Oryctolagus cuniculus: one gene and its partners. The protein of the gene in region 2 purifies or fractionates together with the protein of the main gene of each other region. This does not show direct contact. Links are inferred from orthologs where the notes say so. Each region holds a gene or a part of one and is shown on either strand. Other genes may lie near its edges.

Region 1 (3,647 bases), on a different chromosome or scaffold from region 2:
GAAAAGGCAACTTGACGCCTGGCAGCATCTCCATCTAGTTCCTGAACTTTTCACTTAACCTTTCTCCTGGAACCTTCTCTTGTAAACTCATGGTGGTTTTCTTTGATTTCTTGATGGTGGGCTTCCAAGTATCTGCTAACAGTGTTTACGCCTGTTTTACAAACCACACCTTATAATGCAACAGCTACTTTCATTGTTTTCATTCCATTTTCTATGAACTGCTAAAAACAGATTTATTTGCTTGTTTATTTATTTGAAAGGCAGAGTGATAGAGAGAGGTCTTCCATATGCTGATTTACTCCCCAAATGGTCTAACAGCTAGGGCTGGGCCAGGTGGAAGCCAGGAGCCAGGAGCTAGTCTCCCATGTGGGTGGCAGAGTCTTAAGCACTTGGCCCCCTCCACTGCTCTCTCAGGTGGATTAGCAGGAAGCTTGATTAGAAGCAGAGCAGCCAGGATTCTAATGGGCACTCTGATAGCGGATGCAGGTGTCACAAAGTAGTATCCTAACCCACTGTACCATGTTGCCAGCTCCTCTGTGAACTTCTTGAGATATCGCTGTACCAGTAATGTATATATTAAATTACTTTTGTGGGGCCAGTGTTGTGCCATATCAGGTAAAGCCACTGCCTGCAATACCAGCATCCTATTTGGGGATGAGTTCCCATTTGGTTTGAGTTCCAGCTGCTCCACTTCCCATCCAGCTCCCTGCTAATGCTCCTGGGAAAGCAGCAGAGGATGGCCCAAGTTCTTGGTCCCCTACACCCATGAGGGAGACCTGGAAAAAGCTCCTGGCTCCTGGCTTCAGTCTGGCCCAGCCCCAGACATTGTGGCCATTTGGGGAGTGAACCACTGGTTGGAAAATCTCCCTCCCTCTCTCTATAACTCTACCTTTCAAATAAATAATAAATCTTCTAAAAAATTATTTCTGCCATGGCCAGAGATACCCTAGATTGAATTACATCTATAATGAACAACATGTGAATCAGTAGTTACTGCTATTGAGAGCTGGAAGAGCTGTGATGCAAGAAAAGAGGGGCCCACGTTGTGAGAGAACTGGAAGAAGCTCCTGGCTCCTGGTTTCAGCCTGGCCCGGCCCTGGCTGTTGCAGCTACCTGCAGAGTGAACTAGCAGATGGGAGATCTCCCTCTCTCCCCCTTCCCCAAATCAATAAATCTTAAAAAAAAAAAAATAATAAGTTGATGGCACCCATTTAAAAAATTGTATAAAAAATCATATTGCTTTTCTAAACAACTTACTGTTGCTGTTTCTTTTTTAAGGATGCATCTTTTCAGTTTAAAAGAACTTTTAAATTCGTATGTATAAGTGTTTATGACTTCTTTCATCTTTGGTTAATTAACAATCAGTGCAGATTCCATTTGTGTGATGCTTCCTTTCTGTCTGCCAAGTAACTTTTGAAAATCACAAAACAAAATGATAGTAAAAACTCCTGGGGGAGAGAAGTCATATGCAACCCAGCTTTATGTCCCCTGTCCCCTTCGCTGTTTAGCAAATTGTATCCCACAAAGTAGGCGCTCATTACAGTTTTTGCTGACTTAATTTTCACTTTGGTGCTTAAAATATTGTAAAACCAACTACTGACGTTTTGCTTTTTTTCTAGACAGACAAAGAGTAATTTTATTTGCAAATGAATGGATGAATACGGAGAAGTAGAGAAGCTCACAGTTTGCATGTCTAGTTGTGACAAGTCAGAATGTGGGATTGCAGTGGGAATGACTGTTTTGAGTAGAATTCGTATTTGACCAAGACGGTACTCTCACAGTCTGATTCCCAATTATGTAGTTCATTTGCCTTCCCTAGGCAGGAGGGGAATCTAGAACTTAGGCTTCATAGATAGCCATATTTTTGTAATGCAGCCTACCACTCTAATTATACTTATATTTTTAAGACAGAGGTGTTTATTCTAGAATTATTTTCTGAAAAGTCATTTTGGTTTCTGAAAACTTGTGACAGCCAGGATGAATTACAGTTCCCAAAGCAGAATGCATGAAATAATCATGACGGTTAATAACTTCTTTTTAAAAAATATTTATTTTAGGGCCCGGCGCCGTGGCTTGCTTGGTTGATCCTCCGCCTGCGGCATTGGCATCCCATATGGGCACCAGGTTCTGGTCCTGGTCGCTTCTCTTCCAGGCCAGCTCTCTGCTGAGGCCCGGGAGTGCAGTGGAGGATGGCCCAAGTGCTTGGGCCCTGCACCCCATGGGAGACCAGGAGAAGCACCTGGCTCCTGGCTTCAGATCAGTGCAGCACGCCGGCGGTAGCGGCCATTTGGGGGGTGAACCAATGGAAGGAAGACCTTTCTCTCTGTCTCTCTCTCTCTCTCTCTCTTTAACTCTACCTGTCAAATAAATAAATAAATAAAAAATCTTTAAAAATATATATAATTTATTTGAGAGGCAGAGTTTCGGGGAGGGGGAGACAGAGAAAGAGAGCTTCTGTCTGCTGGTTCACTCCTCAGATAGTCACAACAGCCAGGATGAGCCAGGCTAAAGCCGGGAGCTTCCTCCAGGTCTCCCACATTGGATGCAAGGGCCCAAGCACATGCGTCATCTGCTGCTGCTTTCGCAGGTGCATTAGCAGGGAGCAGTATTGAAAGTGGAGCAGCTGGGACTCAAACTGGCATACGTATGGGATGCTGGCATTGCAGGTGGCAGCTTTACTTGGGGCCACAATGCTGGCCCCAGGCTCATACCGTCTATTACTTTTCTAGTAAAGATAACCTTTTAATGTGTTTTTATTGTTATTATTAGTAGTATCAACATAGTATCAACAAAAAATGTTTTGAATTTTAACTTTAATTAATTTTTTTTAAGGACTTAAAGATCTCTTTTTGCTGTGTGGCCGGATTTTCTTAGCACTTGCTCTTCTTACTTTAATTATTTCTGTGACTACCTCATGGCTTAACTCATTTAAGTCTTCCCAAGTTTATCTGAAAGGTAAGTTGATTATTTATGCTATTCTTTTATATTTTTCTACTCAACTTTCTTTCCTTTATTCTATAACTTTGCCTCGTAAGAACTATTTTACCATTAACTTGTGATGTTTAATTTTAAGGAGGAGTAATCATTACAACTTTAGTCATGATTGTTTATTTTTATTACTTGAGAGGCAGAGAGAGAGAGCGAGCCAGCTCCCAGCCACTGGTTAACTCCCCAAATGCCCACAATCACTGGAGCTGTGCCAGTGCCAAAGCCAGGAGCCAAGAACTCAATCCAAGTTTCCCGTGTCATGAAAAATGTATATTCTTGGATTCAGAGTTTAGAAAGTGTCTTAAGACCACTGAGCCTGATCTGTCTAATAGCAAGTTAGTAGCGTCCAATTTTTTGCTGGGCTTTATTGCCCTAATCTTTGTTTTGTAATTTGAGGAAATACAAAAATGTACTGCCAAAGAGCTGAAGTTATCAGTAGAAGTGAATGTTGCTGTCAAAGTTCAAAGGGTTTATGTATTTTCTTAAGGATGGGTCATTCCAAAGGGAATGGTTTCTGGTTTGTTGTTACTGTGTGTGAGCCATTTTGTGCACATTGCAGTATTACAAAATCCAATCTTTAAATGATGTTTGAAGGACAGAGCCAGTTACGTAAATGATATTTATTATACCAAGAGTAAAACCAGTTCCATACAACAGCA
Region 2 (3,647 bases):
TATAATGGTGATCTTTATGGTTCTGAGAAGAAATTATCAAAACATTTAACTAGGTATATGAAAATAAAGGATATAACAGTAGAAACTATTATGAAAAATAAAGTGCTCTTACGAAATACAAAGTTAAATAAGTCTTTGATAGTCAATTTTTTAAGTTTGTCCCAAGTACCCTTTGTACCACACACACACAAAAAAGCACAAATTTTAAAATGGCATAAATTTGAAAATTTCAGAATGCCACAAATTTGAAACCTTTGAAATTTCTAAGCTTGAGGGTCTGATTCAGAATCAGAATTAATCCTAAACCCTCAAGTTTAGAAAATGTCTACTTAATCTCTTAACAATTACAAAATAAAGTCTATTCCCTTAAAAGTCGCTCTTGTGTGCCAAACCACATAAGCAGTATTAACACTTGTGGTTTATCTCTAAGCTTCACAACTATATGGAAGCTCTCAACTCTGACTGCGCATTAAAATCACCTAAAGACTTTCTGGGAAATACAGATACCCAGGCTCCATTTCCAGAGTCTGAATTTGGAGTTTTTTCTTTGTTTTTTAAACCTAATCTCCCCAGATGACTTCCATGGGCAGAAAAGGCAGAGAAGCATGAGTCTCAAGAAATCTTTACTGCGAGATTATGTCTTTCAAATCCATGTTATGTTTCTTTCTGCTAACAAATTTTAAAAACTCACCCCTTTCACTCATTCCTATGGCCTCTCTCATCTACAAGAATATTAAGCAACAAATAAAAAATACAATTCACATAAAACAATCCTGAATATCTAATCTAGCAAAGTCAAAAACCACCTCACAAGTCACAGACAGTAAAATCCTGTGGTTTCATCTTTCCTTGATACCTTGCATCTGGTTCTGAGAAGAAGCTACCCTTTCAGTAGAAATAGCACACACACACACACACACACACACACACAAAGGACAGGCACATGTGCAAACTCATCATTATCAAAAACTAATGAATTATTATTTACTTCTTAAATGCTAGTGTTTATTAGAAATTATAAAATACAAACTTTTGAGTATGAGAATGATTCACCAGGCCAAACATGAAAATCAATTTTACTTATAACAATTTTATCTATATAAGTAGTGGGGCCAGCACTGTAGCATAGCAGGTAAAGTTGCCACCTGCAGTATCAGCATCCCATATGGGCACCGGTTCAAGATCCGGCTGCTCCATCTCCTATCCAGCTATCTGCTATGACCTGGGAAAGCAGTAAAAATGACCCAAGTCCTTGGGCCCCTGCACCCGCATGGGAGACCCGGAAAAAGCTCCTGGCTTCAGATCAGCACAGCTCCGGCCGCCAAATGGGGAGTGAACCAACAGATGGAAGACCTCTCTCTCTCTCTGCCTCTCCTTCTCTGTGTGACTCTGACTTTCAAGTAAAATAAATAAATCTTTAAAAATAAATAAATCTTTAAAAATAAATGTAGCAATAGCTGCTCATTTTTTTGAATGAGTAAACATGGATAATTCCTAATTCAGAACAAAATTATTAAGATAGAAAATACCTTTTCGAGCCGGCGCCGCGGCTCACTAGGCTAATCCTCCGCCTTGCGGCGCCGGCACACCGGGTTCTAGTCCCAGTCGGGGCGCCGGATTCTGTCCCGGATGGCCCTTTTCCAGGCCAGCTCTCTGCTGTGGCCAGGGAGTGCAGTGGAGGATGGCCCAAGTGCTTGGGCCCTGCACCCCATGGGAGACCAGGATAAGCACCTGGCTCCTGCCATTGGATCAGCGCGGTGTGCCGGCCGCAGCGTGCTGGCCGCAGCGCGCCGGCCGCGGCAGCCATTGGAGGGTGAACCAACGGCAAAGGAAGACCTTTCTCTCTGTCTCTCTCTCACTGTCCACTCTGCCTGTCAAAATAAATAAATAAATAAATGAAAATTTAAAAAAAGATAACTACATTAGAATTTAAAAAAAAAAATACCTTTTCAAAACACAAAAGGAATAAGCAAAAAAATTAACATTTTAACTACATAAATATTCAATATTTAGAAAGAGATCCACAAATAGAATGGTTGCATCATAGAACAACTTACTAGAGCATATTTGTGGTAGTATGTGAGTTCTACATTCTATGAGCTGTATCTCTCATGTGAACTAGAATCTACAATCTTGTTAGTACTATTAGCTCAGGTCTTTACTATTAATCACACATAGATAATCACCACATAACAAATATAAATTAAAATACAGATGGAAAAGGAAATGGGCACTTAACACATATAAAGGGGAGACTGCAATGAACTTTGAAAATCCGAATAGCACAAAAATTAGAAAATAGTAATGTACTCCATCTCCCCCTGGTGCTTTAAGATGAAATAGCATGATTTTTAAAATTTTACTAGATTTAGAAAAATGAGCATGAAAGACAGCCAAAACAATTTTTAAAAGTGTTTCTATTTTCTGCCATTAATAACTACAAAATAGGAACAACAAACAAGAGATGGAAAAGGAACATAATTAAAATTTGAGAGTTATACAAATTAATCAAAGCAACAAATCATCCTTCTAACAGAGGCACAGTAAACAATTTTCTTTGCACTCTTGTTTATTAGTATATTATAGCAAATCAGTTTAAGATTTCAAGATTTAGTTCTTACCTCCATTGGTATGTGGTTTCTTTTTAAATGAAACTGTATTAATCATGTCCCACTCTGCTTCATAACTGTTCAGATATTCTGATCCTCGATGAGCTCTTTCTTTTGGGGCCTGGGTCCATTCTACAACAGAACTGGAGTCCTAAAATAATAACAAAAATATGAAATATGTAAAGTCTAAAACTGGAATTTCATTTGACTCTATAACATCTCCACCATTTCTACTAAATTAAACTTTGTGGGTTGTGGCAGACATCACTAGTAGGAAAACCAGACACTCTTTCCTATCCTTTATTCCCTTGCTCATATTTACCAAAAAAAAAAAAAAAAAAAAAAAAAAAAAAACTTACCCAGACTCCCTTTCAGTTAGGTTTGCAAAAAAAAACATGCAAAAGTCATCTGTACATCTGTAGGCTCTGGAAATGCTTTGACTTTCATAATAAAAGCTTCATCTCTTTTCCCCTTCATCCTACTTTGCCACTGTGAAATCTAAAACTATAGTAGCCATAGTGTAGCAAGGGAACTACTATAAAAGGCTCCCATCCAACAGACTCAGTAATTTGAGGAAAACAATTGTGTTCTCTCACTGGCAATCAAAAGGAGCTAAAAGCAGCATATCTAAGTATATAGTTCTACAGAACTTTCATTTTCAAAAGAAAAACCAAAAGTCTAAAATGCAGTATTAATAATTTGACTAAATCAAAACATTTGACTTCTATACAACAAAAGACATCACACATAAAGATTAGCAAGACTGCGATAAAAGGCTTTTGAAAAACAAAAGAAAAACATCCAAACCAATTCCTACCAATTTAATTAGAAATAGATTAATATCAAAACAGAAAAGCAATAGTTTGACTAGGTAAGTCTCCCTCCCCCCAAAAAACAGAAACCCATAGAAAGATGTCCAACATCAGTAACAAAGAAAAATAAAATAAGAATTCTATATTTTTTACCCAATTTAACTTAAAAAATACTATCATATATGGAAGAGAGTGAGAGAAAATGGACTATCTCCCATCATTGATG
Region 3 (4,225 bases), on a different chromosome or scaffold from region 2:
CAAAAGGTTCATGGAGAGTGGAATTGAAAGGTAAGTTGATTTGGTGCCAAAAAAAATTTGAAATCCCTACACACAAGGGGTCTTCAAAAAGTTCATGGGCCGGCGCCGTGGCTCACTAGGCTAATCCTCCGCCTAGCGGCGCCGGCACACCGGGTTCTAGTCCCGGTCGGGGCGCCGGATTCTGTCCCGGTTGCCCCTCTTCCAGGCCAGCCCTCTGCTGTGGCCAGGGAGTGCAGTGGAGGATGGCCCAGGTGCTTGGGCCCTGCACCCCATGGGAGACCAGGATAAGCACCTGGCTCCTGGCTCCTGCCATCGGATCAGCGCGGTGCGCCGGCCGCAGCGCGCTGGCCACGGCGGCCATTGGAGGGTGAACCAACGGCAAAGGAAGACCTTTCTCTCTCTCTCTCTCACTGTCCACTCTGCCTGTCAAAAAATTTAAAAAAAAAAAAAAAGTTCATGAAAAATGGGTACTATGAAAGAACTATACAAGGATTTCAAAAACTTTTATACTAAAATCCACTTGTCTTTTAAAAAAAATATTTATTTTATTTGAAAGTTAGAATTACAGTTCATGGCCACGATGACCAGGTGGAAGCCAGGAGCCAGGAGCTTAATGGGTCTCCCACATGGACTGCAGGGGCCCAAGCACTTGGGCCATCTTCTACTGCTTTTCTCAGGACATGAGTAGGGAGCTGGACCAGAAGTGGAGTGGCAGAGACATGAACCTGTGCCCACGAGATGCTGGTGTCTCACTGATGGCTTTACCTGCTAACGCCATTCTGCCAGCCCCCAAAATCAACTCATCTTTTAATTCCATTTTCTACCAACTTTTTGAAATATCCTCAAAGATGCCCAAAGTATTTGTTGAATAAGCACATGGCACCAGCTTCCTAAAGAAGGGCCATTCCACCTACCCTCACACTGAGGATACACTTATTTCAGAAACTGGCCAAAACAGCTGGGGAGGGCCCCGCAGCCTAAGCCTCTCTCTGGGCAGCAATTTGGTTCCTAGAACTCAACAGTCACCAAAGTAATAAAAAAAATATAAATTGTGCCACAGGTCACAAAATATTACCTTCCTCAGAATACAAGTTGCCAATACACTAATAACCAATAACAGATTTATCTTGCCTTTTCAATTGTTACATGTATTTTTGGTCACCAAGGATAGTTCAAAATGCTGAAGAACAAGAAGCCTGAAGAATTCTACCCCTTTTTCCATCCCTTTCTTGAAGCTTCAGTTCCATCCATCAACAGTCATAATGGTTTTCAGCCCAAAGGTAGTAGGGAGACTATAACCACCTAGGAGATGTAACTCATTTTGGGACCAATCCATGGAAGATGCTATGAATCAAATCCCCAACCTGAGAGGTGGGGAAGTAAACGCACGCCTGTGGCCCTGACACCAACACACTCTGGGTCGAAGACATGCGTTCCCACCTTTTTTTTTTTTTGACAGGCAGAGTGAACAGTGAGAGAGAGAGACAAAGAGAAAGGTCTTCCTTTTGCCGTTGGTTCACCCTCCAATGGCCACCGCGGCCAGCGTACCACGCTGATCTGAAGGCAGGAGCCAGGTGCTTCTCCTGGTCTCCCATGGGGTGCAGGGCCCAAGCACCTGGGCCATCCTCCACTGCACTCCCGGGCCACAGCAGAGAGCTGGCCTGCAAGAGGGGCAACCGGGACAGAATCCGGCGCCCCGACCGGGACTAGAACCCGGTGTGCTGGCGCCGCTAGGCGGAGGATTAGCCTAGTGAGCCACGGCGCCGACCCCCACCATTTTTACTACAGGACTGCGACGCTGATGGACGCCAGACAGGTGCCTGTATTCCGACAACATTCACTTCACACGTATAGAGTTAAGAAGCGCCCGCGGAGACAAGCAAACGAAACATCAGAGCTTCGCGAAGAGCTGCTCAAATACTGGCTGCCAACAGCTGGCTGTTGCTGGAGTCAGGGCACGACCTCAGGGCTGTCCGGCTAACAGATCCGCTTTACCCAAAGTCAGCTAAACACCCTGGAGTGGCTCCTTGTTTAAACGGCTAATAGGAGTTCCCTCGCCACTCTGACCAGCGCTGCCGCCCCGATGGCCACGGCGACACCAGCAGCAGAGCACGGTCTCCGGCCAAAGGCTCCCTAAACTTCTCTCCACTCGCAAGCACTTGAATCGCCCGAAAACTCCTCAGACCGGGGAGAAGCGCGTCTCCCGACTCGGGGAGGTCAGCGCCTGACGAGGGCTGCACTCTGCCTGTCGGCGGCCTCAATGAATGGGGAAAGTGACGAGAAGGGGGCAGGCTCCCAGCACCGCCTCCACCGGGACGGCCTCTTCTTTCGGCCTGGCACACGCGCTACCGGGGGCATCGGGCAGGGCCCCCGGAACACCGGGGCATCCAGCCTGACCCCAACTGCCCAGCCCGCCGCCAGCATCGCCGGGGGGGCTCACGGGCGGGGGCCGAGGCTGGCGGCGGGACTCCGAGCCCACTCGCCAGCCAGGATGGGGGCGGAGCCCGCTGCCCCCCAAGGCCACCAACTACTGAGGTACGGGCTCGGAGATGGAGGGTCGGCCCTCCCACTTCCTTCAAGCCGGAGGGGCTCGGCTGCCCCCAGCCTCCTCAAGGAAGTGCTCAGGGGGGTGTGTGGGGGCAGCCAGGACGGCGGCGGCCGGTACTCACAAAGCCCACTGGAGCCGGTGCTGGTGAACATGGTCCCGCCGGGCTCGGAGCCCCCGCGGGGGACCAGGGGGAGGGGAACCGGAGGTGGAGAGCCCCCGGCGACCGCGCAGGCGCACTCCCGGCGGGGCGGTGAATCCGGCGCCGTGATGCCACTCTAGGGGACGCCCTCCGGACTGCGCATGCGCGACTCAGGGGCGCGCCCACTCGGTCTGCGCCCTCCCTTCCTGCTGGGGAGGGGAAGTGCGTCCGCCGCGGACGGGGTTCGCGTGTGCGGAGTTTTCCGACGGCTGCGGCTGCAGTTAGGAAAGGGCTGAGATGGAGCTCAGGGGTAACCCTAGGAGCCGTACCCCTGTGCCCACCCGCGCTTCCGCACCCTGAGGAGCCGCGATGGCCGCAGATTCCTCTCGGTCCTTTAACAGTTCCTCGGACGGGACGCCCGGCGCGTCCCACGCATGCCCAGTCTTTCCGGCTAGCCCGTCTCGGGTTCCGGTGTCCAGCCAAGGGCGAGAGGTCTCTGGACGCGGACGGAAGGAGAGCTGGCCGACGCTCCCTCCATATGGGACAGCGGGCCTATCCAGCTGTCCCCTTTGTCCGGACCCACGTCGGGCCCACGCGAGTGCACGCACCAAGCCCTAACGGCCCGGGAGGCCGCCCGCGCGGGGCGAGTCCAGCGCAGAGACCCTGCCTGTTGTCAGGTTAGGTTTTCTTCCCACTGCTGACTGAAATTGCTCTTTGCTAAAGTCACTTCATCTAAAATAGGTGTGAGCCTGAAAATTTTATTATACAATCGTTTAAAAAGTTTTTTTCAAAGAATAGGGGGAAATTGTCCATAGTACACGGCTAAATGAAAGGACAGGCTGCAAAAGTGTACAGCATACTTAAACAAGAAAAAAATGAATTTATTTGTACGAGCCAATGTAAATCTGAGATTCCCTTATTAACACAGTCCCCGCACCCTTAGTAGAAGTTCCAGGGGACCGGAATAGTCACATTGATTAGATCTAGAAAGCAAAAATATAGGTGCTTTTTCTTTCCTTCTTCAGGCTTGATTTATTTATTTATTTATTTTTTTTACAGTCTTGAAATACAGCTTATATTTAACCTTAGGTTAACCAGCTCAAATCTTTTGCAACCAAACGATTGTCCTTTATGTTTGCAGAAGTTGTCCGCTGGTGAGAAAGCCTGTAGCCTACATAGGACGGGGACTCGGTGTAGGTGTGGCGATCTCTGACCCAAAAAGGGAACCCAAAGGACAAAGCTATTTTCGTGGTACTGCTAAGACAATGCTGTCCCCACCCTGCCCCGGCTCACTCATGAGTATACAGTGGAGCTTTCCATAGTACTGGTGGAAGACCTGTGTAACACTCTGAACCAGTATTTTCCACTTGACCAATGCATGAGGTTATGAATTCATGCCTGGGTAAACGATTAGTTCAAGCTGCAAGATAAACCGAGAGGTGTTAGTGAACAGAGTACAAGAAGCTCATTGATAAGGCCTCAGGGTCCTCCCTGGAAGTACTTTTTAAGATACTACCATTTGTTGGCCAGTGCTGCGG

The links.
Region 1: the proteins of TBC1D15 (region 2) and UBXN8 purify together in Homo sapiens (affinity purification with mass spectrometry; 3 studies listed by BioGRID and IntAct, counting the BioPlex papers as one, with this or other methods). This does not show direct contact. The link is inferred for Oryctolagus cuniculus from reciprocal best matches to the Homo sapiens genes TBC1D15 and UBXN8.
Region 3: the proteins of TBC1D15 (region 2) and UBAC2 purify together in Homo sapiens (affinity purification with mass spectrometry; 3 studies listed by BioGRID and IntAct, counting the BioPlex papers as one, with this or other methods). This does not show direct contact. The link is inferred for Oryctolagus cuniculus from reciprocal best matches to the Homo sapiens genes TBC1D15 and UBAC2.

Annotation. Positions count from the first base shown.
Region 1 is NC_091433.1:80,778,168-80,781,814, forward strand, and holds part of UBXN8 (UBX domain-containing protein 8), read left to right. Parts: intron 1-2,832; coding exon 2,833-2,955; intron 2,956-3,647. UniProt on the Homo sapiens protein: Involved in endoplasmic reticulum-associated degradation (ERAD) for misfolded lumenal proteins, possibly by tethering VCP to the endoplasmic reticulum membrane. May play a role in reproduction.
Region 2 is NC_091442.1:74,445,396-74,449,042, reverse strand, and holds part of TBC1D15 (TBC1 domain family member 15), read right to left. Parts: intron 2,761-3,647; coding exon 2,622-2,760; intron 1-2,621. UniProt on the Homo sapiens protein: Acts as a GTPase activating protein for RAB7A. Does not act on RAB4, RAB5 or RAB6.
Region 3 is NC_091440.1:13,393,873-13,398,097, forward strand, and holds the start of UBAC2 (ubiquitin-associated domain-containing protein 2), read right to left. Parts: upstream 2,851-4,225; 5' UTR 2,701-2,850; coding exon 2,670-2,700; intron 1-2,669. UniProt on the Homo sapiens protein: Restricts trafficking of FAF2 from the endoplasmic reticulum to lipid droplets.